4 linked regions of the Anolis sagrei genome follow. The protein of the gene in region 3 purifies or fractionates together with the protein of the main gene of each other region. This does not show direct contact. Links are inferred from orthologs where the notes say so. Each region holds a gene or a part of one and is shown on either strand. Other genes may lie near its edges.

The links.
Region 1: the proteins of OTUB1 (region 3) and SLC7A11 purify together in Homo sapiens (affinity purification with western blotting; 5 studies listed by BioGRID, with this or other methods). This does not show direct contact. The link is inferred for Anolis sagrei from reciprocal best matches to the Homo sapiens genes OTUB1 and SLC7A11.
Region 2: the proteins of OTUB1 (region 3) and FOXM1 purify together in Homo sapiens (affinity purification with western blotting; 4 studies listed by BioGRID, with this or other methods). This does not show direct contact. The link is inferred for Anolis sagrei from reciprocal best matches to the Homo sapiens genes OTUB1 and FOXM1.
Region 4: the proteins of OTUB1 (region 3) and UBE2E3 purify together in Homo sapiens (affinity purification with mass spectrometry; 3 studies listed by BioGRID and IntAct, counting the BioPlex papers as one, with this or other methods). This does not show direct contact. The link is inferred for Anolis sagrei from reciprocal best matches to the Homo sapiens genes OTUB1 and UBE2E3.

What each region holds. Positions count from the first base shown.
Region 1 is NC_090025.1:44,305,113-44,312,766, forward strand, and holds the start of SLC7A11 (cystine/glutamate transporter), read right to left. Parts: upstream 3,004-7,654; 5' UTR 2,511-3,003; coding exon 2,234-2,510; intron 1-2,233. UniProt on the Homo sapiens protein: Heterodimer with SLC3A2, that functions as an antiporter by mediating the exchange of extracellular anionic L-cystine and intracellular L-glutamate across the cellular plasma membrane.
Region 2 is NC_090025.1:104,604,152-104,612,130, reverse strand, and holds the start of FOXM1 (forkhead box protein M1), read right to left. Parts: upstream 3,008-7,979; 5' UTR 2,863-3,007; intron 1-2,862. Other genes in the region: TULP3 (tubby-related protein 3), read left to right, coding at 6,594-6,637. UniProt on the Homo sapiens protein: Transcription factor regulating the expression of cell cycle genes essential for DNA replication and mitosis. Plays a role in the control of cell proliferation. Also plays a role in DNA break repair, participating in the DNA damage checkpoint response.
Region 3 is NC_090032.1:15,294,750-15,302,742, reverse strand, and holds the start of OTUB1 (ubiquitin thioesterase OTUB1), read right to left. Parts: upstream 3,003-7,993; 5' UTR 2,946-3,002; coding exon 2,891-2,945; intron 1-2,890. UniProt on the Homo sapiens protein: Hydrolase that can specifically remove 'Lys-48'-linked conjugated ubiquitin from proteins and plays an important regulatory role at the level of protein turnover by preventing degradation.
Region 4 is NC_090021.1:188,322,172-188,329,375, forward strand, and holds the start of UBE2E3 (ubiquitin-conjugating enzyme E2 E3), read right to left. Parts: upstream 3,005-7,204; 5' UTR 2,990-3,004; coding exon 2,840-2,989; exon of another isoform or gene 2,836-2,839; intron 2,366-2,835; exon of another isoform or gene 2,053-2,365; intron 1,945-2,052; exon of another isoform or gene 1,548-1,944; coding exon of another isoform or gene 1,485-1,547; intron 1-1,484. UniProt on the Homo sapiens protein: Accepts ubiquitin from the E1 complex and catalyzes its covalent attachment to other proteins. In vitro catalyzes 'Lys-11'- and 'Lys-48'-, as well as 'Lys-63'-linked polyubiquitination.

The sequences.
Region 1 (7,654 bases), on a different chromosome or scaffold from region 3:
CCCAGTTCCAATTTGCACTGAGCCAATCAATTCACTTGGGTTCAGATACATTTCATGGACTGCCTTCAGCTTTCTTAGACAGACCTACCACACAGAGTTGTTGTGACAATGCATTAGAGACAGAGAAGAGTATTGAGCTCATTAGATGAAATATGCTTATTAGGCCTGGGTAACAACGCAAAAATTTGTTTCTAAAATCAATTTGTATTTGGGGGGTTTTTTTGTTTCGATATTTAAAATAATTACAAAATTTTCCCTTAAAAAAGTTCGGTATTTACGAAATTTCGTTAATATTTACAAAACATTTTGTAAAGATGGCGCCCTTTTTTTTCAATATTTTTTCAATATTTTTTAATTTAATTATTAATTTAGTAGAATAGGGAGGAGAAATTATTATTAAGGAGGGAAGGCAGGCACTCACTCTGGCGGGCCCTCAAGCGCTGCCGCCGAGTCGGGCCCGGCTCCTCCAAAGCAATGCGAAATTGGGAGAAGGGCTCCCCAAAGGCCATCTAGCCCAGCCCTCCGCTAAGGAATTGGGAGAACGAAGCACAGCCCTCCACTAAGGAATTGGGAGAATGAAGCACACCCACCGCAAAGGTGAGGAAGGAGGGACGGGCCGCCTTCCCGCTGAGGGTCGCTCGCCCTCTCGCTCGCCCTCTCGCTCGCCCTCTCGCTCGCTTGCTCAGCCGGTGCCTTCCCCGCCCTCTCCTCCTCCTCCTCCTCCTCCTCTTTCAGACTCTGCCTCTGACTGGCTAAGAGAGGAGAGAGAGGAGAGCTCCCAGCAAGCATCGCCAGGCCATCTTACGTATTTCCGAAATGGACGGAAATACAAATTTTTTTGGCGCCTGCCGTTTCAATATTTAAAAACACTTCCGGGTTTAAAAATAAGTTTTGTAATCGTTTTGTAATTGCTAAAATTAGCGAATATTTAACGAATTACAATATTAACGAATGAAACCGCCCAGGCCTAATGCTTATGTGTTAACTAATAAAGGCAGCCCTCTGCATCCATAGGAGTTAGGGACACAAGACCCTCGCAAAAATGAAAAACACAAATAAAAAAAGATTATGTTGTTGAAGGCTTTCATGGCCAGAATCACTGGGTTGCTGTGAGTTTTCTGGGCTACATGGCCAACTTCCAGAAGAATTTTCTCTTGATGTTTCACCCATATCAATGGCAGGCATCCTCAGAGGCTGAGGGGACCCAGCCAATGCCCTAAATCAAGAAATAGTTTTCTAAGATCTACAGAGATACTCGCAGGAACACCTCAGCAAGCGAGAGTCTAGAAGTGGCAAGCTAAAACCCAGAACCTCAAGCCATAGCTGATACCGATTGAGAGACTTCCCCCTCGGCACACAGAAGACTGGACGACTTGGAAGGCACTCAATATAAAAGCCCGGAAAACTCACAGCAACGCAAAAAACATTATATTTTTCCCCAAGAGTATACTTCCCTAAGATTCTAAAGTTCCTACAATATGACTCTATGGTAACGGTTGACCATAGACTTTTTCTGGAAGACCTAAAGATTCCTAGAGAGAACATATTAATCAAATCCATGAATAATGAAACCTGCAAAAATGACACCTGCTAGACAACTGAACAGAATAAAATAAATAAGTGTAGGCAAGGGGCCTATCTTTCATGAAAGAAGTCTCTCTGACATTTAAGGATAAGTGGTGAGGCGTTCCAATTCCACATGCATAAATTCCAAATGGATTTGAAAATGTAAACTCTTTATTTTAAAAAAAAGCAGTTTAATTATTCCCTCATCCACACCACTGCTTTCCTGCTAGAAAATAGTTCAGCAGACGTTTACCCCATTGCATTTTGTATAGCCAATGACGCGCATATTCGCAGGTGTTCTTCAGACTAAGCAGTTCATTTCCCTTGCTGTCAACCCTCCACCAGCATGCTACAACTCATTCTCAACAGAAAGTCAATACAGACTGCAAACTTTATGATATGCTAAAGGAGACTAGCCTCTCCGCTTACTACAGGGAATTGTAAGGAATATCGCTTGGTGTTAAAAGTTCTGATAAAAGTATTCCTCGGAGTTTTGTGTGAGTATCTGAATGCTTGCCAAGCAGCAAAAGACCTTCTTCCCTCCCACCAAAAAATAAAATAAAATACTGAAGCAGTACAAGTAAGTCTCAAACCAGGCTTTTAATCCCCAGAATCAAATATCTTATATCTACCCCAGTGGATCAATTATGAATGCTCACAAACTTACCAAAGAGTGACAGGATGCCACAGACAGTCCAGACCGTCAAAGATAAGCCCACACTGCCTGTGTGCTCGAGGATTCCTTTGGGAGATATAAAGATCCCTGCTCCAATGATAGTGCCAATTATAATAGATATCCCTCTCAGCAAAGTCACTTTCTTCTTCAGCACCACTTTCTCTCTCTGGGCCGCCTTGGTGTGTAAGCCAGAGGGCAATGTGCCATTTGAATGCCCCTGCAGGTAGCTGCCATTAGAGATTGTCGGCACAGGAGACTTCCTAAACATGTTTTGGTGCTGCCCACACACCAAGCTGAGAACTTTGAAAAGCTCTCTGAACAGAAAGCCACCTCGGGTCTTTCTTTCCTCTCTCCCTCCTTTTGTCTAACTAGCTAACTCCTTTAAAAACACACATACACGAACACACACCGCCTGCAGCCTTTCAACCCACTTGTGCCAACAAGTATCAAACTCTTCAAGTGTCTTTTACTTTGGACGGCTGTCTAAACACTACTCAGGAACACCTGCCCTTTCTCCCAGCCACCTTTATGCCGCTCTGTCATTGGAAGCCGGCTCAGCTTCCGCATGGTCTTGTATTTAAGCTCGCCTGTCATACCAAGTTACTCTTGCTGAATGATGATGCAAATTCTCCAGGTTTGCATCAGCCATAGGAGCAGGATCCAAATCTAGCATTACTCAGCACTTTTCCCCTTTACTACAGTAGCAGGATGTTGCACAACTTGAGAAAGGGGGAAATAAATTCCCCGTAAGCAATCCCTCGTGGCAAGGTTTACTATATTGCCACACTCCCAAACAATGATAGAATCTCAGTGAGAAACAAAACTCTCTTTTCCAACATGGGGTGGGAGCAGTGCACCTTATAAATGCTGAAATACAAAGAGGAGAAAACAGAGCAAATAAATAGTGCCATGTCTGTTTATTTTTTGTTTATTGTTATTTTAAAAATCTGCCTACACTTCAGAAAGTGCAGAAAGAAATTCAATTCCCTTAACTGTAGGGAGGTGTTATAGGTTATGTGCATTCTTTTGTTGTTGTTGTTGATAATTTGATTTGGACCACATATATTTTCACAAGAGTACATGTCAACCTTGTTGCTTTCTGTTGTTTCCTAGCAACTCAGTCAGTCTAGGCTAATAATGGCTAATTTTACATAATTTGATAATTCTTTCATGTATTTGGTGTCTATCTTTATTACTTTTTTTCTAATGGCTCCCTGAAACATGGCCCAGGTCACATCAAAATAGCTCTTAACAGTGGTATCTTACTTTAAACATTGCTAGAATTGATGCATAGGGCACAAAGCTACTGGTGAGATTATTTGCCTCATAGAATCATAGACTTGAGAAGGATAGTTTTGTCGTGCAGGCATGAGCGAACTTTAGCCCTCGGTATTTTGAACTTCAACTCCCACAATTCCTAACAGCCAGTTAAACTGGCTGGGATTTCTGAGAGTTGAAGTCCAAAACACCTGGAGGGCCAAAGTTTGCCCATGCCTGGACTCTATTGCAAAGCCCCGTCATGCAGGAATACACAACTAAAACACTACTGTAAACTGGCTATTCAACTTCTATTTAAAGATCACCAAAGTCAACTGATCTCCCTGGAAATCTATTCCAGTGTCCAACAGCTGTTAACAAAGTTCTTCCTAATGTTCTCTTTTCTTATAATTTCAATTCATTGGTTTGTATCCTAGTCTGTGAAGCAAACTAAATTAATTTTCTTTTATCTTCAATATGACATTATTTCATATATTTAAATATATTCATATATCATATATATTCATATATCATGTTACCTCTCCTCTTCTCCAAGCTAAACATACCCAGCTCCTCAAGCTGATTTTCATGGGTCTTTGTTTCCAGGTCTTTTACCTTTTGGTCATGTTTTAGCTTGTCAATATTCTCCTTGAACTTTGATACCCAGAATATATGTGGCAAAATAATTTGGCTATCTTTAGGATCTATATGCCCTGTAGGCATGGCAGAGAGCAATATTTGCTGTTCCGCATCAGGCAGTCAAAATAGAGGACACTCAAGGTGATCATTAGAAAACCGTGAGGTGCCTCCCCTGGCCTGCATTTGACCATATCTTGATCAGGAGGAGAGACAATTTGTATTGTATCCAGAAATCAGAACACTCCCAAAGTTCAATTACCATAGTTTAATTTCCTGTGCTTAAGTTGCATCATTTGGTGCATTCTCTAATAGGTCATTGTGAGCTCTTATGAGTCATATATGCTTAAAGGCAAGTATGAATGTCAGCCTTCTTGACAGTGTTCCTTAGAGATATGCATATTAGTGCAATACAATGCATACTCTGCATTTCAGCCTGTATGTGAAGGCTATTCACAGTTGCTGGGTGAAAGAATAAAAAGAAATATTCCCAAAGTAGTTGCCTAAAGTGGCTAATCTATACAGAAGAACAAACAGTCCCCAAAATATTGATGTCTGGAACATGAAGCTATCACAAGGTCTGCAGAGGAACAGGAAGAACAAGAAGGAGGTCTCCCTCCCCCTCCTCTCTCTCTCTCTCTCCTGGCTTGTTCCACGCAGGAGTCCTTCATTGGAAATTCTGCAGAAAGACTTCTACGTGTAAAGAAATATCTATTAAAATGGTGGTTTTCGACCGTGTTACTCCATTTAAATTAATCCTGTCTAGGAGAGTGAAAGAAATCCTCATTAACCAGGGAAATGTTTTTCTTTTCTTTCTATAGAAACACTAAGTTGCCAATCAGGATTAACCTGGAATACTAAGTACTGATCATTAAAGAGAACGCAGGCACTGTGCCTACTGACTTTAGGCTGAAATTCCTTCAAAGAATCTCTCTTTCTGCAAGTGTATCTTGTTAATGTCAAAGAAATGCCAGGCCCTGTAAAGGGTATTAACATTAGAGTACTAATTAATTCATTATACTGGCAGATTACTTAATTCACCACAATAATCAAGCATAATGTTTAGCCATACTCTGCTTTGATAGTACATTTCAGCAGGAGAAATGATAGAGATGAAAATGGAATGGAGGGAAAGGAATGAAGGACTCCACATAATAATTTGGAAGTAAGTGATCTTGTGTAAATCCAGTTTGCTAATGTTTACATGTTTTGAGTTTCATATTTCATTATCTTTCTTTCTCCCTTGTTTATTTACATTTTAGGGCTCTTTCAGATGTATCAGAAGCTGGAGTTTTTGTTGCTCTACTTCTAGGACTCTTGGACTATTTTCTGACACATTTGTCACCAGCTGTGGTATTTTAATCCCCATCTTCAAACCTCAGTTAACTCATCTTTTGCTATTGATGTGCAAACCCCATCAATAGCTCCCAATCCCAGGACATTCTCATCACCTAGCTTGGTGCAATGGGTCCACCTGACTTCTATGCCAACATGGCAGCAGTAAAATGATGACAGGGGAGTAATTTTCCCCCTCTCCCTTCACTATTCTCAGGCTGTCTGTTTTCTATGTACAGTATTTGATATTTTACAGCTATGTTTGCAAAATTCCCTCATTTTTTAAAAAAAATACAGAACAGGAGAAAGGAGAAAGGCAGCATTACAAGGGTAATGGTACCTTTACAAAGGTAAAGGTTTCCCCTTGACATTAAGTTGAGTTGAGCCCAAATCGGAGTGGTGGTGCTCATCTCCATTTCTAACTGTCGTTAAATAAATAAATAAATAAATAAGCCGAAGAGCCAGCATTGTCTGTAGACACCTCCAAGGTCATGCGGCTGGCATGACTGCATGGAGCAATGTTATCTTCCTGCTGAAGTGGTACCTATAGATCTACTCACATTTGCATGTTTTTGAACTGCAAGGTTGGCAGAAGCTTGAGTTAACAACGGGAGCTCACCCCGTACACGGATTTATATGGCCAACCTTCCAATCAGCAAGTTCTGCAGTTTAACGGTTTAAGAGCTGAAAAAAGCGGTATAGAAATAAAGTAAATAAATAAATAAATAACACACTGCGCCACCACAGCTCCTACAAGAGTGTGTAGAAGTTGTCAAATTGGTGCAATTCCACAAATGAAAAGAAGTGTAATGTAGAAGGTATCTATCCCAGTATGTATCTATCATCAATGTCAGTGTAACTGCTATGGAATAGCAACTTTGTACAACCAAGTCCCATATTCCCTTCTTGTTTTTATGTATTGTGTGTAGAATTATATTACTATAGTTCATTTATGAAATACAATTTAGAACTATTACTTTATAACTTAAAATTATTTTAATTTCAAAGAGGAGAAAATTTGCCCTTGAAACCCCACAGAATCACATCATTAAATTGTACCCTGATTTTTAAAAAAAACCTTGGAATCATTATAATAACGTGCTACAAGCAGTTCCTTGAAAATAATGTAGTGAATGGACATAGAACTAAAATCTTAAAAACTATGTCACAAGAACTCAAGCTCCTATAGAGCTTTCCAGATGGTCCCTCCATTTCAATTCAGAGTGGGAAAATATCAAAACCAGTTAACAAGTAAACCAACTTCACTTTATATCATCATCATCATTGTCATCTTATACTACAATTAAAAGCAGCTTTACAAGCATCTGGAGGTGAGGGCTGGTTTGGAAATGTCTTGCAATATGCTCGGGGATACTTTGGAGTACAGGTGTCTTTCCTTCTGTAGTGGTTTGATGCTAGCAATTTCACTGTTATGTTGCCTTATAATTCACACCACAAATTAAAGATCAGCCTCATAGTAAATCTTTCCCATTAGATTGTGCATGGATAATATTTTTTGCTTAGAGCATTCCCATCATTTCTTCCCATGTATGTTTGGAAAGAGGGAAAGACTAGAGATGGCAGAGGAAAGTCACTGACTAGAGGTGGAAAGAAATGAATTAAAAATAACATTGTCGTTGTTACTGTTGTTTGCCATCAAGCAAGTCCATCTTGTGGCAATCCTATGTGTGAGCACTTCCCAAGATCAACTATCCAGCTCAAGTCTTAGAAACTCAGGATATGGCTTAACCAAATTAATTCAATTTGTAGTGTGGTGTACCTCAGTTTCTACTGCTTTCCACTTTACTAAGCATTGCTGCCTTTTCCAATGAGTCATGACATCTTATGATATGTCCAAATTATGATTGCCCCGATTTAGTCAGTTTGAGCTGTCTTTCTTTTTCAATGTTTTTTAAAAAGTTTTTTTATCATGTCAGGAACGACTTGAGAAACTGCAAGTCACTTCTGGTATGAGAGAATTGGCCGTCTGCAAGGACCTTGCCCAGGGAACGCCCGGATGATTTGATGTTTTCATTATCCTTGTGGGAGGCTTCTCTCTTGACCCCGCATGAGGAGCTGGAGCTGATAGAGGGAGGTCATCCGCCTCTCCCCAGATTTGAGCCTGCGACCTGTCGGTCTTCAGTCCTGCCGGCACAGGGATTTAACCCACTGCGCCACCGGGGG
Region 2 (7,979 bases), on a different chromosome or scaffold from region 3:
TCCTGTTGCCTATAAAATTGTGAAGAGGGATTCACATTGTAGAAAACACTTGAGTCTCTTGCAACTTCTTGAAAGACACAGACACCAAATTCTTCCTTGCAGAGTCAAGCAAAGAGGGATGGTTTTTCACAGGCGCAATGAGTAACACACTGCCCACTTCAGACAAGCCTACATAATGGAATATCCCATTCTTCTAAATACTGGGACCAGAAATGTTTGGGATTTGGGGTTTTTGAACACAAGTGTTTGCATATATCAGTAAATGCTTAAGGAGATATCTTGGCATGAAATTCACTTACATTTCATACTAAAGTATATACCCAATATTGCCCAGGTGTTGGAGGGCCCATTGCTTTCACTCCTTCTCTTTCTGTCTTTTCTTCCCTCTCTTCATACCTTTCCTCTTTTCCTTTCTTCCCTCGCCCCCTCCCCTCCTTTCCTTCTCCATTCCTCCCTTCTGCAGCTCTGAAAGGGCCTGTCTTACAATGTCTCCATGGAAATGCTTGGTGGCTCTTTCCTCCCTCTCTCCAACACAGGTCTCCTTTCTTTCCCAGCGAATCACAAAGGGCTACTTCACCTAGCAACAGCTTAAACCCTTGTACCATATGTCAGCGGTTCGAATCTCAAGAGAGCGGGTTGAGCTCCCTATTTCAGCTCCAGCTCCTCATGTGTGGACATAAGAGAAGCCTCCCACAAAGATGGTAAAACATCAAAACATCCAAGCATTCCCTGGGCAACGTCCTTGCAGGTGGACAATTCTCTCACACCAGAAGCGACTTGCAGTTTCTCAAGTTGCTCCTGGCACACACACGCACACACACACACACACACACACACACAAACAAACCCTAGCAACAGCCTTTGTGGTACAGACAGACTGACTTGTGTATAGATATACATAGTAGTAGTAGTAATTTTATTGATCAGCCCTCAGGCCATATCACAATAAGAAACAGAACAACAAGGCCTGGCAAGACCTGATCACACTCCACATAGTAAGTTAAAATAAGACACTTATAACAATACAGTAAATAAATATGATAAGACGGGATAAAACTGATATACTGATCAAGCTTATCAGTGGCTTGTTCTCGGTCTTGCAGCTATTCTGATGTCTGAGGTGGAGTATCCATTGGCCTGTAGAGCACAGTTTAGGTGGTTCAGTTCACCTTGGAGGAGGTGGGGTTCACAGATTCTTTTTGCACGGTCTGCAAGACCAAGAACAAGCCACGAGAGTCAAGACAAAGATTCACCCAGATATAAAGTGTTCTTCCCATACATCAAGGGAACCACTGACCACATAGGGAAGCTGATGAGGAAACACACTATAGAAACCATCTACAGAAAATCCAACAAATGCTACGTTCAGCAAAGGACAAGAAGGATCCTCTCACTTCTGCAGGAGTCTACCGTATATCATGCAGCTGTGGACAAGTCTACACAAGGACCACCAAACGCATCATTGCCCAAACACGAATCAAGGAACATGAAAGGCAAGGCAGGTTACTTCAACCAGAGAAGTCAGCCATAGCAGAGCACCTGATGAACCAATCTGGACACAGCATTTTATTTGAGAACACAGAAATGCTGGACCACTCTCACAACCACCATGTTAGACTACACAGAGAAGCCACTGAAATCCACAAGCATGTGGACAATTTCAACAGAAAGGAAGAAACCATGGAAATGAACAAAGTCAGTTAGAGCAGGAGTAGAGTCCGTATGCTGCAGTGAGATGTCAGTTAATATATGAGTCTGTTTGCAGCAGATGTATAGTACAGTGAGTTGAAGTATAGTACAGTGTAGTACAGTTTTAAGTTTAATTCAGTTGACATCTGTTTCAATAAGCAATGTACCTTCTTGCTAAATACACAAAGCTTGTAAGTATATCAACGATGTTAACTTTTAACGAAGACTACTTATTTTTTTGGTCTCTTAAGAACATGATTTTAAAACAATATATTTTATGGGAGAGTAGATTATATATTTTTGTGCAACAGAAATAACACTTCTGAAGATCTGCTACATATTTTATGCATTGGCATTTCTTTGTTCCTAGCGGTTCAAAGAGATAGCCAAGTATATCAGTCTAACAGCTGAGAAGCCTAAACTGCCTTGTATAAATACTAGTAATTTACCACTAAGGTAGTGGTTCTCAACCTGTGGGTCCCCAGGTGTTTTGGCCTGCCAGAAATCCCAGCCAGTTTACCCAACTGTTAGGATTTCTGGGAATTGAAGGCTGAAACATCTGAGGACCCACAGGTTGAGAACCACTGCACTAAGGAGAAGATTGACTCAGGTGAGTTTGTAACTCTTCTTGGGAAGATCATACTTTACAAAATGGTTACGATCTCTATCAAGGTCATGCCTTTCCAAAAGGTTATGATTATTCCAAATAGTCTGGCTACCAGTATTGAAAAAACTCTACAATTACAACAGCAAAACAACAGAGAGGAAACAATATGGGACATGTAATCACCTCTCAACAAAAGATTGCCCCAGGCACTGCCAGGCAATCAAATGCTAATCAAGGTGGTCAGTTGAAACATTCACACCTAGCTCCAGGAAACAAGAGTCCTTTGTCCCACCCTGGTCATTCCACAGATATAAATCCTTTTCCCTAATTCCAACAGACCTCACTACCTCTGAAGATGCTTGCCATAGATGCAGGCGAAACGTCAGGAGAGAATGCCTCTAGAACATGGCCATATAGCCTGAAAAAACCTACAACAACCCAACAAAATTAGTGTTGCATAGTGTAATCTGTGTATCCCGCCCTCCCTCCACACTAAGCTCTCTCCCACCAAACCTAAAGGACTGGTCCCTTCCCCGGCCTCTTGACCCCATCCTCGCCTCTCTCACCTGTTCTTGGGGCTGGAGCGGCGGGGACTGGCTGCAAGCCCCGTTCTCCCCCGCCTTGAAGGGAGAACGTGGCGAGCCAGCCGCCAGTCCCTCAGGCGGTCGGTACCGCCGTCTTCCGCCTCTTGGGTTGTTTGAATTTGGCGCCCAACAAGGACGTTCGACGCCACGTGACGGCGCCGGGCCAATTAGAGCGCAGGGGGCGGAGCCTGTGAGGAAGGAGAGCGAACGGTAGGAGCAGCGGCCCAGGCGCATCTCTTTCGGAGGCAGACTTGCTGTGTATGTGTACACATGCGTCAGGATAGGTGTTTTGAGTTTGTATATGGGTGCCCTCACCTGCCACAGTCATTCCCCAGCTCTGGCTCTCCACGGTTTGGAAGGGACTCCAACTCCCAGAAGCCTCAGCTGCTCTGACCCAGGATAAGGGATTCTGGGAGTTGAAGTCCCAAAGGGTTTTCATCCTCCAATGTGGTTTTGCCAGTTTCTTCCTCTGAAATGCTGCCTGCAACAGCTGGCATTTGTCAGCGGCGTCCCATTCAAGAGCTGGCCCTGCTGACTTTGCAGGATCAGACGCCATCTGGGGCGTTTAGGATTTATGTTGACAGTTAACTGTCCTGCAGTTCCAGAAATAAACGGAATCACCAAAACAGAGATATTAATAATGTTGTAAAATAATATTTATACTTAATAATACAATATTTTATAATAATATAATATTTATACTTATGATATAATACAATATAATATGATCTATATAAATCAAAATATAATGTTCGTTTGTGGGATTAACTGAACTCAAAAAGCACTGGGGGAATTGACACCAAATTTGGATGCAAGACACCTAACAACCTAATGTATGTCCTTCACTCAAATTTTTTTGATTTTGTCATTTGCGAGTTGTAGTTGCTGGGATTTATAGTTCACCTACAATCAAAGAGCATTCTGAACTCCACCAACGATGGAATGGAACCAAACTTGGCACACAGAATTCCTATGACCAACAAAAAATACTGGAAGGGTTTGGTGGGCATTGTCCTTGAGTTTGGGAGTTCTAGTTCACCTACATCCAGAGAGCATTGTGGACTCAAACAATAATGGATCTGGACCAAACTCTACACGGATACTCAGTATGCCCAAATGTGAACACGGGTGGAGTTTGGAGAAAATAGAATCTTGACATTTGGGAGGTGTAGTTGCTGGGATTTATAGTTCACCTACAATCACAGAGTATTCTGAACCCCACCAACGATAGAATTGGGCCAAACCTCCCACACAGAACCCCCATGTGGGCCACAGCAACGTGTGGCAGGGGACGGCTAGTCTATATAAATAAAAAGTAATGTTCGTTTGTGGGGTTAACAGAATTCAAAAATCACTGGGGGAATTGACACCAAATTTGGACATGATACACCTAACAACCCAATGTATGTCCTTCACTCATAAAAAAACAGCAGAAGGGACTTAAAAAGCTAAATGACGAAAAGCTAAATGACAATACAGAAAAAAAGGAAGAAAGAGGAGGGAAGGGGAGAAAAGAAAGAAAGAAAGAAAGGGAGGGAAGAAGGAAAGGGAGAAGGAAGCATATAAGCAAAGAGAAAAGGAAGGAAAGAGGTAGAGAAGGAAGAAAGGGAGGAAAAGAAAAAGGGGAAAGGAAGGAAAGTTAGAGAAGAAAGGAAGGAGAGAAGGAAAGAAAGAAGGAAGGAAAGAGGGAGCGAAGGAAGGGGGGAAGATGTAGAGAAAGAGGGAGGGAAGGAAAGAGAGGAGGAAGAAAAGAGCAGAAGAGAAAGAAAAAGGGGGAAGGAAGGAAATAGATAGAGAAGGAAGGAAGAAGAGAAGGAAAGACAGGAAAGAAGGAAAGAGGGAGTGAAGGAAGGAGGGAAAAAGGGAAGGTTGGCCACAGCAATGCGTGGCAGGTACCACTAGTAATATAATATTATTTATTTACAACATTTATATGACGCCCTTCTCACCACGAAGGGAAATCAGAGCGGCTTACAAGATAGATATACATACATACATACAAACACACACATACACACACACGCTGTGCCACTAGGGGCCCCCAGTAGTATAGTACAGTATAATAATATATTTATTTATTTATTTACTAGATTTATATACCACCCCTCTCAGCCCACAGGCAACTCAGGGCGGTTTACAGTCAGTACCAATACCAAAAAGTACAATTAAAACATTAATATAAATATAAAAGAAGTAAAAACAATCAATATCAATTAAAAACATATATAATTAGAGTCTCCTTGTTCAAACAGTGTCCAGTCACGTCGTCCAGTCTTTCCATTTTTCATCTGTAGTAGTAGTAATTTTATTGATTAACCCTTAGGCCATATCACAATAAGAAACAGAACAACAAGGTCTGATAAGACCCGATCACACTCCACGTAGTAAGTTAAAATAAGACACTTATAACGATACAGTAAATAAATATGATAAGACATGATAAAACTGATAAACTGATCAAGCTGAGTATATACATCATATTTCATTATCACCCCTACAACTTACCCCAATCAGCCCTAAATATGTGGTTCTCAGACGTATTGTTTTGCTTAAGTACAGAGCTGTTTTGTATGTTATTTTTGGGTCTTGACCACACATAAAATATGTTGTTCTGATGTGAGATTCCCAATACATTGTCCATTTGACAATCTAACCATTGTCTCGAGCTGATCAAATCTGACTCGAGTGAATACCTCCCTGAGATTTTTCATCTGTAAACGCTTACTCGGCCCCTCTTCCTTTTTCCCTCCATTTCCCCCAGCATCATTTTCTTCTCTAAGCTTTCCTTTCTTCTCATGATGTGGCCAAAGTACTTAATATTTGCCTCTAATATCCTTCCCTCCAGTGAGCAGTTGGACTTTATTTCCTGGAGGATGGACTGGTTGGATCTTTTTGCAGTCCAAGGCACTCTCAGAATTTTTGCAACACTATTTTTGTTGGGTTGTTGGTTTTTTCGGGATATATGGCCATGTTCTAGAGGCATTCTCTCCTGACGTTTCACCTGCATCTATGACAAGCATCCTCAGAGGTAGTGAGGTCTGTTGGAACTAGGAAAATGGGTTTATATATCTGTGGAATGACCAGGGTGGGACAAAGAACTCTTGTCTGCTGGAACTAGGTGTGAATGTTTCAACTGACCAACTTGATTAGCATTTGATGGCTAATAAAGGTGGTCAGTTGGAATTTCAAGCATAATTGGCATTTCGGAAGATCTGTGCACGATGGGTACCCAGGATGCTGACGCTGGTTGCGGAAACAGTGTCGACTTGTTCTGTGAAGGCTTCAGAAAACTTGTTCATCGTTGGCAGAAACGTATCCAATTGTCTGGTGATTATGTGGCAAAGTGAATAGTGGTAGTTTAAGAGCACATTGTAAGGATTATTTCTGCGTTTGATTTATTAAAATATTCCCATCCAAACCCAAGTAACGAAGGTGGAGGCATTACTTTTCAATCAACCCTGGTAGAGAAAGATGTTGAAGAGCCCTGGGCCCAGGTCTGAGGAGAAGGCCGACGTCACGCTCTTTGCAAGTTGATGCGTGGCTTTGTTTTCTCCCTCACCCCGCTCTGGCTGCGCCCAATGAGGAGCAGGCGTTGTGCGCACGCGCCGCCCAGTGCCTCGCGGAGGCTCCAGGGGCGGGAAGGCGGAGGAGGGGGGCGGTCCCAACCCGGCGAGGGGGCCGCCCCCTCCCCTGGTTGCCATAGCAATGGCAGGATGGCCAGCCGGAGCGGAGTGACTTTGGCTACCATGGGAGCCAGGTGAGGCCAGGGCCCGAGGGTCCTCTTGGCGGGGCGCCCCCTTTTGGGCGAGGGGGGTGCTGGGGCCGCAGCAGAGGCTGGAGGGAAGCCCAGGAGGGCGACGCCCGGCCCGCGAGCTTGCAGGGATCCCCGCCAATCAGCAAGCGCGCGGAGGCCTCCCTGTCTCGAGCTCTGCGGCCGGAGAGAAGGCTTTTGCAGTGTATCATAGAGGCGCTGCTTCCTCTCACCCGGAAAGAAGGGAAGGGGGCGCCATGGCGGCTGCTCCTTCCCCCATCTCCTTGGTCCTTTTCATCAGTCAAGCCTATTTTTATCAGTGGAAGGGAGGCGCCTAAAGGCGAAGAGCAGGGAGGAGGGCACCCAGATCTCTGGAAGTTTTGAAGCAGAAGCTGGATGGCCATCTGTCGGGGCTGCTTTGATTGTTCTTTTCCTGCATGGCGTGGGGTGGGCTAGATGTGGTGACTTCCAGCTCTGATTCTTCCATCTCCTTCCCCCTAGCAACAATATAGTACTATAGAACACTTTTTTTTTGTTCTGTCAGGAGCGACTTGAGAAACCGCAAGTCGCTTCTGGTGTGAGAGAATTGGCCGCCTGCAAGGATGATTTGATGTTTTATCATCCTTGTGGGAGGCTTCTCTCATGTCCCCGTATGAGGAGCTGGAGCTGATAGAGGGAGCTCATCCGCCTCTCCCTGGATTCGAACCTGCGACCTGTCCGTCTTCAGTCCTGCCGGCACAGGGGTTTAACCCAATGCACCACCGGGGGCTCCTATATAACACTAATATTGTGCTATGCTAATCTATATAAATAAAAATGTAATGTTCGTTTGTGGGATTAACATAACTCAAAAGCCACTGGGGAAACTGACACCAGATTTGGACACAAGACACCTCTCAGGCCAACAAGTGACCATCACTCATAAAAACACTGAAAAACACAGCAGAAGGGACTTTAAAAAGCCAAAAAATACATTACAATGCATACGCAAAACCACATATATATACACAAACACACATATATACACACATATATGCATACACACAGAAAGAAGGCAGGAAGGAAAGAAAGAAGGAGGGAGAGAAGGAAGTAAAGAAGGGTAGAGAAGAAAGGAAGGAGGGAGAGACGAAGGAGGGAAGGAAAGAAAGAAAGGCAGAGAGGAAGGAGGGAGAGAAAGAGGGAGAGAAGGAGGGGAGAGAAGGAAGGAAAAAAGAAGAATAGAGAAGGAAGGAAAGAGAGAAGGAGGGAGAGAAAGGGAAGGAGAGAAGGAAGGAAGGAAGGAAGGAGAGAAGGAGGGAGAGAATGAAATAAAAAAGTGAAAGAGGGAAGGAAGGAGACAAGGAAGGGT
Region 3 (7,993 bases):
TGAGAAATTATGGGAGTTGAAGTTCAAAACACCTGGAGGGCCGAAGTTTACCCATGCCTGCTGTAAACCATCTCAGCTTTTAATGCCTTTTAAGTCTAAATTTTAAGAGTTCATCATGTGGTAACTGTTGTGTGATGTGTTGTTTATTTAAGTTTAATTTTAAGTTATTTTTCCAATTAGTTTTATAATTTTATATTGAGATTGGGTTGTTGTAGGTTTTTCCGGGCTATATGGCCATGTTCTGGAGGCAATTTTTTGCCTCCAAAATTGCCTCCAGAACATGGCCATATAGCCCGGAAAAACCTACAACAACCCAGTGATTCCGGCCATGAAAGCCTTCGATAATATATTGAGATTGTTTTATCCACTATTCTGATTTGTTATTTGTTTGTTGTACATATTCCAGGTCTATTATTGAATTGAACTATTCTCTGAAAGCTTGATCGCAGAGCCAGGTTTTGACTTTCTTTCTGAAGGCTAGAAGGGGAGGGAGCTGATCTAATGTCACTAGGGAGGGGCCACCACTGAGAAGGCCCTGTTTATCATCCCCACCACTCGTGCTTGTGATGCAGGCGGGACCGAGACCAGGGCCTTCCCAGACAATATTAATCTCTGAATTGGTTCATAGGGGGAGATACATTCAGACAAGTAAGATGGGCTAAACCCAGCACTTTGAATTGTGCTCGGTAGCAGACTGGCAGCCGCCCATTGGACCAATTTAAGCTTCCAAACAGTCTTCAAAGGCAACCCCATGTAGAACACATTGCAGTAATCGATTCATAATGTGACAAGATGCGGATCACCATGGGCTGGTGCTTCTGGGAGTACCAAACTCCTGTAGAATCAAAGGTTAGGAATCGCTGCTGGGTCGAAATGCAAGAATAACAACATTTTAACTACGATTGCACCCACTGGCGGCAACAGAGGTATTTCCACAGCACAAACCATGGTTATCTTTCCTTCAGAAGAACAGCCATGACATCCAATCAACCTCATTATCTCCTAGCAAAGTTGTGCCTTCGTAAAGTTGTTTTCAAATGGGGTTAAAAACAGACCTGGACTAACTTGGGCCCTCTGGGTATTTGGACTTCAACTCCCACCATTCCTGGCAGCCTCAGGCACCCTTCCCTTGGACTTCAACTCCCACCATTCCTAGCAGACTCAGGCCCCTTCCCTTGGACTTTAACTCCTACGATTCCTAGCAGACTCAGACCCCTTCCCTTGGACTTCAACTCCCATTATTCCTAGCAGACTTAGGTCTTCCCTTGGACTTCAACTCCCACCATTCCTAGCAGCCTCAGCCCCCTTCCCTTGGACTTCAACTCCTCATTCCTAGCAGACTCAGACCCCTTCCCTTGGACTTCAACTCCCAGCATTCCTAGCAGACTCAGGTCCCTTCCCTTGGACTTCAACTCCTCATTCCTAGCAGCCTCAGGCCCCTTCCCTTGGGACTTCAACTCCCACCATTCTTAACAGGCTAAGGCCCTTTCCTTTTCCCCCTGAACTCATACCATTCCTAGCAGACTCAAGCCCCTTCCCTTGGACTCCAACTCCCAGCATTCCTAGCATCCTCAGGCCCCTTCCTTTCCCCCCTCAACTCCTACCATTCCTAACAGCCTCAGGCCCCTTCCCTTGGACTTCAACTCCCAGCATTCCTATCAGCCTCAGGCCCTTTCCTTTCCCCTCTCAACTCCCAGCATTCCTAACAGCCTCAGGCCCCTTCCTTTTCCCCCAGAACTCCTAACATTCCTAACAGCCACAAGCCCCTTCCCTTCGACTCCAACTCCCACCATTCCTAACAGCCTCAGGCCCCTTTCTTTACCCTCTCACCTCCTACCATTCCTAACAGCCTCAGGCCCCTTCCCTTGGATTTCCACTCCCAGCATTCCTAGCAACCTCAGACCCCTTCCCTTGGACTTCAACTCCTACCATTCCTAGCAGACTCAGGCCCCTTCCATTGGACTTCAACTCCCAGCTAGGAATGATATGAGTTCAGGGGGGAAAGGAAGGGGCCCGAGGCTGTTAGGAATGGTATGAGTTCAGTGGGAAAAGGAAGGGGCCTGGTAGGAGGTGAGAGGGTAAAGAAAGGGGCCTGAGGCTGCTAGGAATGCTGGGAGTTGAAGTCCAAGGGAAGGGGCCTGAGACTGTTAGAAATGGTATGAGTTCAGTGGGAAAAGGAAGGGGCCCGAGGCTGCTAGGAATGGTGGGAGCTGAAGTCCAAGGGAAGGGGCCTGAGGCTGCTAGGAATGCTGGGAGTTGAAGTCTAAGGAAAGGGGCCTGAGTCTGCTAGGAATGCTGGGAGTTGAAGTCCAAGGGAAGGGGCCTGAGTCTGCTAGGAATGGTAGGAGTTGAAGTCCAAGGGAAGGGGCCTGAGGCTGCTAGGAATGCTGGGAGTTGAAGTCCAAGGGAAGGGGCCTGAGGCTGCTAGGAATGCTGGAAGTTGAAGTCCAAAACATCTGGAAGGCCTTAGTTGGCCCAGACCTAGTGTAGTATTAAAGCAGTTTAGAACCTCCAATTTGCAAGGAGACCATAATAATAATAATAATAATAATAATAATAGTAATATTCCCAATATGGAAGCCTGTCCCTCCTCCCTTCCTTCCTCCCTTCTTCCCTTCCTTCCTTCCTTCCTTCAGCATTCTCTTCTGAAGCCCAAAGTTACAAGGCCCTTTCTGCTCCTCCGTTTCCATGGAGACGGGGGCGCCCCTCCCACGCCCCCCTGGTTGCCGGGGCAAGGCAACGGCGAGGCCTAGTCCAACCGGGGGCTCCATTGGAAAAAGTAAAGGGCCCATTCGAGGCCAGGAAAGGGAGGCAGTCGCTCCCTCGGAGGCCCGAGCTCTCCATTCCCGGAGGTGAGTCCCCCTTTGTGCCCCCTGAGGTCTCCCATTACCGTCCGTGTCCCCACCAAGGGGCTCCGGCTGCTGCTGAGGCTCCTCCGCCGCCATCTTCCCCTCCTCACAGCCCTGGAAAGCAAGCGCTTCCGGGTGGCATAGTGGGCAAACCGGAAGCGCTCCTCTCTCCCTCTCTCTCGCCTGCGCTTCTCTTTGGTAGGCCTCCCGCTGTGACGTCATCACAACACAAGCCGCGTGCCTTCCAGGCCGTGACGTCACTTCCCTGGACCAGCTTTTTTCTTAAATCTCTAACAAAGCGCGTTTGGGACATGGTGCTGGGAGTTTCCTATTCTGGAAAGGCACACTGGAACAGCCAGGTCTTCAAGCTCTTCCTAAAGACTGCCAACGTTGGGGCTTGTCTGATGTCCTTGGGGAGAGAGTTCCAAAGTTGGGGGGCCACCACGGAGAAGGCCCTGTCCCTCGTCCCCACCAAGCGCGCTTGCGATGCAGGGGGGAGCGTGAGCAGGGCCTCTCCAGATGAACGGAGGGAACGTGTGGGTTCAGATATGGAGTCTGGGGGGCCACCACAGAGAAGGCCCTGTCCCTCGTCCCCACCAAACGCGCTTGCGACGCAGGTGGGAGATCGTGAGCAGGGCCTCTCCAGATGAACGGAGGGAACGTGTGGGTTCAGATATGGAGTCTGGATGGCCACCACAGAGAAGGCCCTGTCCCTCGTCCCCACCAAACGCGCTTGCGACGCAGGTGGGAGATCGTGAGCAGGGCCTCTCCAGATGAACAGCGGGAACATGTGGGTTCACATATGGAGTCTGGGGGGCCACCACAGAGAAGGCCCTGTCCTTCGTCCCCACCAAGCGCGCTTGCGAGGCAGGTGGGATCGTGAGCAGGGCCTCTCCAGATGAACGGAGGGAACGTGTGGGTTCAGATATGGAGTCTGGGGGGCCACCACAGAGAAGGCCCTGTCCCTCGTCCCCACCAAGCGCGCTTGCAACGCAGGTGGGATCGTGAGCAGGGCCTCTCCAGATGAACGGAGGGAACATGTGGGTTCAGATATGGAGTCTGGGGGGCCACCACAGAGAAGGCCCTGTCCCTCGTCCCCACCAAGCGCGCTTGCGACGCAGGTGGGATCGTGAGCAGGGCCTCTCCAGATGAACAGAGGAAACGTGTGGGTTCAGATATGGAGTCTGGAGGGCCACCACAGAGAAGGCCCTGTCCCTCGTCCCCACCAAGTGCGCTTGCGACGCAGGTGGGAGATCGTGAGCAGGGCCTCTCCAGATGAACGGAGGAAACGTGTGGGTTCAGATATGGAGTCTGGGGGGCCACCACGGAGAAGGCCCTGTCCCTCGTCCCCACCAAATGCGCTTGCGACGCAGGTGGGAGCGTGAGCAGGGCCTCTCCAGATGAACGGAGGGAACGTGTGGGTTCAGATATGGAGTCTGGAGGGCCACCACGGAGAAGGCCCTGTCCCTCGTCCCCACTAAACGCGCTTGCGACGCAGATGGGAGTGTGAGCAGGGCCTCTCCAGATGAACGGAGGGATCGTGTGCGTTCATATCACGCAGGTAGCCAGGTCCCAAACCGTTCAGGGCTTTGTAGGTGAGCACTTGCACCTTGAATTGGTTCCGGAAAATAAACGGCAGCCAATGGAGCTCCTTAAACAGGAGGGTTGACTTCTCTCTGTAAGGAGCACCAGTTAACATCCTGGCCACCGACCGTTGCACCAGTTGGAATTTCCGAGCCGTTTTCAAGGGCAGCCCCACGTAGAGTGCATTACAGTAGTCCAATCTAGAGGTGACCAAGGCATGGACCACTCCGGCCAGATCAGCCTTTACGAGGTATGGTCGCAGTTGGCGCACGAGTCTCAATTGTGCAAAGGCCCTCCCGGACACCGCCGACTCCTGAGCCTCAAGCGTAAGTGATGAGTCCAGGAGGACACCCAGACTGCGGACCTGTGACTTCAGGGGGAGTGTAACCCCGTCCAGCTCAGGTTGCCACCCTATACCCCAGTCCGGTTTGCGATCGACCAGGAGGACCTCTGTCTTGTCGGGATTGATCTTCAGCTTGTTCCTCCTCATCCAGACAGCCACAGCGGCCAAGCACTCGTCTAGCACTCGAGGGGCTTCCTTGGAGTTAGGTGGAAATGAGTAGTAGAGTTGTGTGTCATCTGCGTAGAGGTGGCACCTAACTCCAAAACTCCGGATGATCTCTCCCAGCGGTTTCATGTAGATGTTAAAAAGCATGGGAGACAGAATGGAGCCTTGCGGGACCCCACAAGTCAAAGGCCAGGGGTCCGAGCAGGCGTCTCCCAGCTTCACCAACTGGGATCGACCCTCCAGGAAGGACCGTGGCTCAGGAAGGACCAGAGCCACGACAAAACCGTGCCCTCGAGACCAATCCCAGAAAACCCTGGAGCTGGGAAGCGACCACCCGCTCCAGCACCTTGCCCAAAAAAGGGAGGTTGGAGATTGGTCTGTAATTGTTCAGCACCGTGGAGTCAAGGGAGACCTTTTTCAGGAGTGGTCGGAACACAGCCTGTTTTAGTCGAGATGGAAAAAAACCCTGCTCCAATGATGCATTAATGATCAACACAAACCAATCAGTCAACCCAAACTACAACTCCCATAGCATTCAAGCATAGCAGTTAAACTCTTTTTTATGGCCAATTATAAGATGAATACAATTTGGCAATGGGAATGATTGGCCCTTTGCAAAACTACAACTCCCATAGCATTCAAGCATAGCAGTCAAACTCTTTCTTGGCCAATTATAAGGTGAATGCAGTTTGGCATTGACTCAATGCAATGGGAATGATTGGCCCTTTGCAAAACTATAACTCCCATAGCATTCAAGCATAGCAGTTAAACTCTTTCTCTGCCAATTATAAGATGAATGCAGTTTGGCAATGGGAACGATTGGCCCTTTGCAAAACTACAACTCCCATAGCATTCAAATAATAGCAGTTAAACTCTTTCTTGGCCAATTATAAGGTGAATACAGTTTGGCATTGACTCAATGCAATGGGAAATATTGTCCCTTTGCAAAACTACATCTCCCATAGCATTCAAACATAGCAGTCAAACCCTTTCTTGGCGAATTATAAGATGAATACAGTTTGGCATTGACTCAATGCAATGGGAATGATTGGCCCTTTGCAAAACTACAACTCCCATAGCATTCAAGCATAGCAGTCAAACTCTTTCTTGGCCAATTATAAGGTGAATGCAGTTTGGCATTGACTCAAATGCAATGGGAATGATTGGCCCTTTGCAAAACTACAACTCCCATAGCATTCAAGCATAGCAGTCAAACTCTTTCTTGGCCAATTATAAGGTGAATACAGTTTGGCATTGACTCAAATGCAATGGGAATGATTGGCCCTTTGCAAAACTACAACTCCCATAGCATTCAAGCATAGCAGTCAAACTCTTTCTTGGCCAATTATAAGGTGAATGCAGTTTGGCATTGACTCAATGCAATGGGAATGATTGGCCCTTTGCAAAACTACTACTCCCATAGCATTCAAGCATAGCAGTTAAACTCTTTCTTGGCCAATTGTAAGGTGAATACAGTTTGGCATTGACTCAATGCAATGGGAATGATTGGCCCTTTGCAAAACTACAGCTCCCATAGTATTCAAATAATAGCAGTTAAACTCTTTCTTGGCCAATTGACTCAATGCTATGGAACAAATAGACCCCTGTCTGATTCCACAGCAAGCTGGCTTCAGAAAAGGCAAAAGCTGCACATCGCAAGTGCTGAACCCGACTCAGCACAGAGAAGATGGCTTTGAAAGGCAGCAGATCACAGGAGCTGTCTTCATAGACCTGTCAGCGGATTATGAGACTGTGAACCACTGCCTCCTCTTGAGAAAAATGTATAATATCACAAAGGACGACCACCTCACCCGCCTCAATGGAAACCTGCTACAAAACAGGAGCTTCTTTGTTGAGTTCCAGGACCAGAGAAGCAGATGGCGGAAACAGAAGAACGGCCTGCCTCAGGGGAGCGTGCTTGCTCCATCCATGTTCAACATCTACACAAATGACCAGCCACTGCCAGAAGGGACAGAGAGCTTCATCTATGCTGATGATCGTGCCATCACCGCTCAAGCAGGGAGCTTTGAGATGGTAGAACAGAAACCCTCCAAAGCTCTAGGTGCTCTTACTGCCTATGACAGGGAAAACCTTCCTTCCTCCCTTCTTCCCTCCATTCACTTCCACCCTTTCATCCTTCTTTCCATCTTTCTTTCCGCACTCTTTTTTTCCCTTTCCCCATCCTTCCTTCCTCTTTCCCTCCCTCCATTCCTTACCTCCCTCTTTCTCCCTCCCTACTTCCTTCCCTTCCACCCTTTCATCCTTCTCTTTCTCTTTTGTCTTTCCTTCCCATTCCTCCTTCCCCTCCCTCTAGTCTCTCCCACCTTTTCCTCCTTCCTTCCTTTTCTCTTTCCTTCCTACTCTTCCTTCCTTCCCTTCCACCCTTTCATCCTTCCCTCCCTTTTGTCTTTCCTTCCTTTATCTTTCCTTCCCTCTCTCCCTCTTTCTCCTTCCCTCACTTTTCTTTCCTTCTATCTTTCCTCCCTCTTTCCCTTTCCCTCTTTCTCCTTCCTTCCTTCCTTCCTTACTTCCTTCCTCCCCCTTTGTCATTCCTCCCTTTCCTCTTCCCTCCCTCCTTCCCTCTCTCCCTCTTTCTCCTTCCCTCCCTTTTCTTTCCTTCCTTCCATCTTTCCTTCCTCCTTCCCTTTCCCTCTTTCTCCTTCCTTCCTTCCCCTTTGTCATTCCTCCCTTTCCTCTCCCCTCCCTCCTTCCCTCTCTCCCTCTTTCTCCTTCCCTCCCTTTTCTTTCCTTCCTTCCATCTTTCCTTCCTCCTTCCCTTTCCCTCTTTCTCCTTCCTTCCTTCCCCTTTGTCGTTCCTCCCTTTCCTCTCCCCTCCCTCCTTCCCTCTCTCCCTCTTTCTCCTTCCCTCCCTTTTCTTTCCTTCCTTCCATCTTTCCTTCCTCCTTCCCTTTCCCTCTTTCTCCTTCCTTCCTTCCCCTTTGTCATTCCTCCCTTTCCTCTCCCCTCCCTCCTTCCCTCTCTCCCTCTTTCTCCTTCCCTCCCTTTTCTTTCCTTCCTTCCATCTTTCCTTCCTCTTTCCCTTTCCCTCTTT
Region 4 (7,204 bases), on a different chromosome or scaffold from region 3:
GTGGCTGTGAGTTTTCCAGGCTGTATGGCCATGTTCCAGAAGCATTCTCTCCTGACATTTTGCCCAAATCTATGGCAGGCATCCTCGGAGGTTGTGAAGTCTGTTGGAAACTAGGCAAGTGAGGTTTATATATCTGTGGAAGGTCCAGGGTGGGAGGAAGAACTCTTAGCCGGGTATAAAAATGAAGTTATTATTATTATTTGAAGCACAACAAGATGAGTCCACAGCAGATAAGATCACTCTGCTGGCTGTTGCATTGGATCACACATCGGAAACTTCCCAAGTGTCTAGGACTGTGTGATGTATCAAAGAATAATGCGTTGTTGTTGTTGTTGTTATTGTCTGCTTGAGGCAAATGTGAATGTTGCCATTGGCCACTTTGATTAGCTTTTAATGGTCTTGCAGCTTCAAAGCCTGGCTGCTTCCTGCCTGGGGAACAAAATCTGGATACTAGTATTAAAAAAACCTCTAAAATCAGGACACTAAATACAGAAGAACACTCAGAAAACATTTACATTGAGGCAAGTGTGAATGTTGCCATTGGCCACCTTGATTAGCTTCGAATGGCCTTTCAACTTCCAAGCCTGGGTGCTTCCTACCTGGGGAACAAAATCTGGCTACCAGTATTTAAACAACTCTAAATAAAGAACAACATTCAGAAAACATTTACACTTGCCTCAAGCAGACAAGGGTTCTTTTTCCCACCTTGGACATTATTCCACAGATATATATACCCAATTTTCCTAGTTTTCAACAGACCTCACAGGCTTTGAGGATGCCTGCCATAGAGGTGAGCGAAACATCAGGAGAGAATGCTTCTGGGACATAGCCAGACAGCCTGGAAAACTCATATATCTTTCTCTCACCTTGCACAGATATACAAACCCCACTTGCCTAGTTTCAAACAGACCTCACAGCCTCTGAGGATGCTTGCCATAGATGTGGGTGAAACATCAGGAGAGAATGCTTCTGGAACATAGCCAGACAGCCTGGAAAATGCATATATCTTTCTGTCACCCTGCAGTTTCGAACAGACCTCACAACCTCTGAGGATGCCTGCCACAGAGGTGGGCGAAACGTCAGGAGAGAATGCTTCTGGAACATGGCCATCCAGCACAGAAAAACTCACAGCAACTTAGGACAACAGGGTTGTAAACAACCGAGACTGACCCCAAAATAGGCTCTCTCTCTGCCCTGAATAATATTTACCTTAGAGACACTAGGTTAAGAGCCCCTTCCTCTTTGCTCCCCGGGCCCCAACAACACACTTATATTTATAGTAATGAGAACATATATACAAAGGGGGGGGGAGGGGGGACACAGATCCCAACAAACCCACTGCCTCTCAATTTTCACCCTAATGTTTGGGCCCAACTGGAGAGAAGGTTTGGGGAAAGAAGGAAGGAAGGGGAAGAAGAATGGGCCCAACTGAGGAGAAGGTTTGGCGAAGGGAGGAAGCAAAGAAGGAAAAGAAGAAGAAGCACCTTCTGGAAAGCTTTCAACGCCACCACCGACTCTGGATCAGTTTCTACAAAACAGACAGACATCTTTTTGCCCCCTAAAAAATAAATAAATGGGGATTCCTCCAGGAAGGATCACATGCAAGAGAGGGGGGGTTGAAATATTGGGATTAGATCATTCCCAAAAAAGAGAAAGAGGGAGAAGGAAGAGGAGGAAGAGGAGGTAGATCCTGATCAGGAATTGCAGCAGGGGCAGCTTTGCCCTCCTCTGTGTGTGTGTGTGTGTGTTGCCTTCAACACAGAGTCGTCCTCCTCCTCCTCTTCCTCCTCTTCCTCCTCCTCTTCTTCTTCCTCCTCTCTCTCTGCTGTAATGGCAGGAAGGAAGCTTCTCCCACCCGGATCCGTCCACTCCGCGCGTGTGTTGTGTGTGTGTGTGTGTGCCACCAAGTGAGGCGTGAACTCGAGTGGGGCCAGGCAGCCAGAACAAAGCTCTCTTTTCCACGACCACCCCCCTTCCCCTCCTCCCTCCCCTTCTCCCTTCCTTCCCTCCCCCCTTTCCCTGCTTGTCCTAACCCGTGTCTCCTTTTTTTACCTTGGCAGCCGTCCTGTCCCGACGTTCACTCGGAGGAGGAGGAGGAGGGGAGGGAGGGAAGGGGGGAGGGAAGGGAAGGGAAGGGAGAGCGTTGTGTCCTTGGGGGCTGGGAAGGGGCTACGAGGAGGAGGAGGAGGAGAAGCAGGAGAGGCAGCAGCAGCAGCAGCTTGGGAGGGGGGCAATCGGGCGGCGGAGAAGGAGGAGGAGGCGGCTCTGTGGCCGGGCAGTGTGGATCATTGAGAGCCGGAGAGAAGGGGGGTGGGAGAGAGAGAGAGAGAAGGAGAGGGAGAAAGGGAGAGAGAAAAAAAGGGGAGGTGCAATACACGCGATGGCCGGACGGTGGCGCTGCGGAGCGCTCCCCTTTTTTTCCTCTCTCTCTCTCTCTTTCTCCTCCAAAGGGAGGGGGGGGGGGCAAATCGAACGTTCTCTCGCCTCCGCCCCCTACTTTCGGATTCAGAACGTTGCAGTCAGCAAAGTTCCAAACGCAGGGAGAGAGAGAGAGAAAAGGGAAAAGGACGGCGCGCGCGCTCTCCCAGGCTGGAGCGCGCGCCCCCGCTGGTGCTGCTGCTTTGTCGGCTTTAGTGCGCGCGCACGCGCTCTGCTCTTTCTCACTCTCTCTCTCTTTTTTTTTTACCTTCCCCCGCTTTGCTGGTCAAGGACAAAGAGTTGGCTGCCCAAGGGAACCCAGGAACCCCTTTCCTTTCCTCTCTCTCCCGGCCTAAGTTTGCAGCCTTCCCCCCAAAGGGAAAGTCTCCCTTCTCGTCCTCCCAGGCATACACTCACCCACCTCGCCTTCGGTCATGTGCAGCCAGAGGCAGCAGCAGCAGCTCGTGTGTGTGTTGTGCTTGGAAATCCTGGACTCCTTGGGAGAGGCCCCAAAGGCCACCCAGTCCAACCCCGTTCTTCCACAATCAAAGCACTCCCGGCAGATGGCCATCCAGCCTCTTTAAAAGCTTCCAGGACTTGGGGACTCCATTACACCCTGAGGCAGAGAGTTCCACTGCTGAAAAGCTCTCACACAGGAAGTTCTTCCTAATGTTCAAATAGAATCCTTTGGTCATTTGCAGCCAAAGGCAGCAGTAGTAGCTCGTGTGTGTGTTGTCCTTGGAAATCCTGAACCCAAAGGCCACCCAGTCCAACCCCCTTCTTCCACAATCAAAGCATTCCCGGCAGATGGCCATCCCTCCTCTTTAAAAGCCTCCAGGACTTGGAAACTATTAAACCCTGAGGCAGAGAGTTCCACTGCTGAACAGCTCTCTCACAGGAAGTTCTTCCTTATGTTCAAATAGAATCCTTCAGTCATTTGCAGCCAGTGTGTGTGTGTGTGTTGTATTTGGAAATCTTGGACTCCTATAGATTCAGGAGAGGCCCCAAAGGCACCTAGTCCAACCTTGTTTTTCCACAATCAAAGCATCCCCAGCAGATGGCCATCCAGCCTCTTTAAAAGCCTCCAGGACCTGGAGATTCCATTACAACCCTGAGGCAGAGAGTTCCACTGCTGAACAGCTCTCTCACAGGAAGTTCTTCCTAATGTTCAAGTAGAATCCTTCGGTCATTTGCAGCCAGAGTGTGTGTGTGTTGTGCTTAGAAATCCTGGACTCTTATAGAATTAGGAGTGGCCCCAAAGGGCACCTAGTCCAACCCTGTTCTTCCACAATCAAAGCACTCCTAGCAGATGACCATCCATCTTCTTTAAAAGCCTCCAGGACCTGGAGATTCCATTACAACCCTGAGGCAGAGAGTTCCACTGCTGAACAGCTCTTTCACAGGAAGTTCTTCCTAATGTTCAAGTAGAATCCTTCGGTCATTTGCAGCCAGAGTGTGTGTGTGTTGTGCTTAGAAATCCTGGACTCTTATAGAATTAGGAGTGGCCCCAAAGGGCACCTAGTCCAACCGTGTTCTTCCACAATCAAAGCACCCCTGGCAGATGGCCTTCCATGCTCTTTAAAAGCCTCCAGGACTTGGAGACTCCATTACACCCTGAGGTAGAGAGTTCCATTGCTGAACAGCTCTCACACCGGAATTTCTTTCTAATGTTCAAGAAGAATCCTTCTGTCATTTGCGGCCAGAGTGTGTGTGGTTGTACTTGGAAATCCTGGACTCCTATAGAGTCAGGAGCAGTCTCAAAGGCCACCCAGTCCAACCCCGTTCTTCCACAATCAAAGCACTCCCAGCAGATGACCATCCATCTTCTTTAAAAGCCTCCAGGACCTGGAGATTCCATTACAACCCTGAGGCAGAGAGTTCCACTGCTGAACAGCTCTCACACAGGAAGTTCTTCCTAATGTTCAAATAGAATCCTTCGGTCATTTGCAGCCAGTGTGTGTGTGTTGTGCTTGGAAATGCTGGACTCCTATAGAGTCAGGAGCGGTCCCAAAGGCCACCCAATCCAACCCTGTTCTTCCACAACCAAAGCACCCCCGACAGATGGCCATCCATCCTCTTTAAAAGCCTCCAGGACTTGGAGACTCCATTACAACCCTGAGGCAGAGAGTTCCACTGCTGAACAGCTCTCACAAGAAGTTCTTCCTAATGTTCAAATAGAATCCTTCAGTCATTTGCAGCCAGAGTGTGTGTGTTGCGCTTGGAAATCCTGGACTTCTATAGAGTCGGGAGAGGCCCCAAAGGCCACCCAATCCAATCCCGTTCTTCCACAATCAAAGCACTCCCGGCAGCCTCTGTAAAAGCCTCCAGGACTTGGAGACTCTATTAAACACTGAGACAGAGAGTTCCACTGCTGATCAGCTCTCTCACAGGAAGTTATTCCTAATGTTCAAGTAGAATCACCTTTGTACTGTCGAAGGCTTTCATGGCCGGAATCACTGGGTTGTTGTAGGTTTTTCGGGCTGTATGGCCATGTTCTAGAAGCAGTCTCTCCTGAAGTTTTGCCTGCATCTATGGCAGGCACCTACACTTTCCTTAAAAATCCACATTATCTGCTTTGAACTGGATTATATGGCAGTGTAGACTAATACAAAGTATAGAAGGCTCCTCAGGCTCCTAGATTCCTTTCACGTGTACTGTATTCAAGCCAGGTGCCACACATCCTATATGAGCTGTCCATTTCATTTTTATTGCCCAAGTGTCAAACTATACATTTCTCAGCCAGATTATATGAGTCTACACTACCATGTAATCCACTTCAAATCAAATAATTTGGATTTTATATGACAGTGTAGAAGGGGCCCTAGTGTCCCTCTAAACAACAACTCTCAGGATTCCACAACATTGAGTGTGGCAGTAAAAGTGGGGTAAAACTAATTCATTTTGCAGTTAAGATGCACCCAGTTACTGCTAGTGCGGACAGATCTTTGCCCTACATTGCTACCACTGCCAATCCCCTGTGTCAGGTACTAGAAGGAGAACTGACTTATACTGCCCTGAGGTCACTGGATGAAAAGGCTGGTCGAGAAATACAATCTATATAAATAAAAATGTAATATTCGTTTGTGGGGTTAACATAACTCAAAAACCACTGGACGAATTGACACCAAATTTGGACACAAGACACCTATCAGGCCAACGAGTGCCCATCACTCATAATAATTCTGAAAAACACAACAGAAAGGGCTTAAAAATCCAAAAAAACCAAAAATTACGTTACAACTTATGCACAAACCCTCACACACACGCACACACACAACACACATATACACATTCATGTACACACACAAAACACATATACACAGACTGGGCCACAGCAACACATGGCAGGGGACAGCTTGTAAATAATAATAAATATATAATAAATATATAATAAATCATCATGGTCTGGGAAACCAGGTGTGAAAGCCTTCTCTATGATTGTTCCCAAATCTCTACAGGCAGATTTCTCTTTGTTTTTCCAATATATTTTTTTTACTATTTTATTTAATCAGGCCTTTTGTTGTGTTTTGTTTTTTACTTGTTGCTGCAGATGGAGCTTTCCACGCGGTGAGTGCTGTATGTGTGTGTGTGTGTTTCATTATGTTTGAATCTGTTTTTTAAAAGATTTTAAACTTGTGTTTTTGAAACGGAAATTATTCCTCAACACATTTATTTTTTATGTTTCTATTAATAGTTTGTTCAGATTGTTCTTTGTTTTAACTTTATTCTAGTACTGAGGGGGAAACTGGAATATCAAATAAATGGATGTAAAAATACAAATATCCTCGGTCGTGTATCAATTTGCCAATGCCAAATTGAAGGCCCACACAGCCTTATATTCCAGAATGTCATGGCAGAAAATTCCGTATTATCTTGAGTGTGGACTCAGATAACCCAGTTCAAAGTAGATATTGTGGGATTTTCTGCCTTGATATTCTGGGCTATAGCGCTGTGTGGAAGGGCCCTGACATGGAAGTCCAGAGTCCAATCATAGTCTTCTCTGAAGTTGAAAGTGTTAAAAGTCTGAGGCCCCTTCTATATTGCCATATAAAATTCAGATTGTCTGCTTTGAACTGGATTATATGGCAGTGTAAACTCATACAGTCCAATTTAAAACTGATAATGTGGATTATCTGCTTTGAAAAGGTGGATTATGTGGCAATGTGGAAGGGGGCTGAGATGTTATATATGTGGAAAGATACCTTTGATTATCAGCTTTGACAATCTGGATTATATTGCAGTGTAGAAGGGGCTTTGGAGTCTTGCTTTAGCATTCAAACTACACTAGAAGTCCAGTTAACATATACTGTGTGCAGGTATGTAGCCCGGGGGGGGGGGGGGGGCTTGAGGGGCTTCAGCCCCCCCCCCCCGAAATTCTCATCGTAGTTCGCGAAAAGGCCTTACTGCTACATTATTTAAACTGTTATGTTTATTCATATCATGATCTAATCACCATGCTCAATATATCCCATATGCATGGGGGTATTGAGGTAACGATACAAAAGGTTTGCTAGGGTAGATCCTGAGGCCTCCCCTCCCCCCGAACCCAAGAAAATTACCATATACAAGAATATTGATGATGGTTAGGATTGGAAACCTGCTTCACTTTCAAACAATACTGCTTCTGCATACTTCAAGAACAAGATGTCGTCTACTTCCCCCTTCTCCTTTTCCTTGTTATTATTGTACATATTTATATCCTGATTTCCTCTCTTAAAGGAGAGTCAAAACCTTTGTGTGTGTTTATGCGCCTTCTATTCTCCCAATGTCGAACCCATCAGGGTGT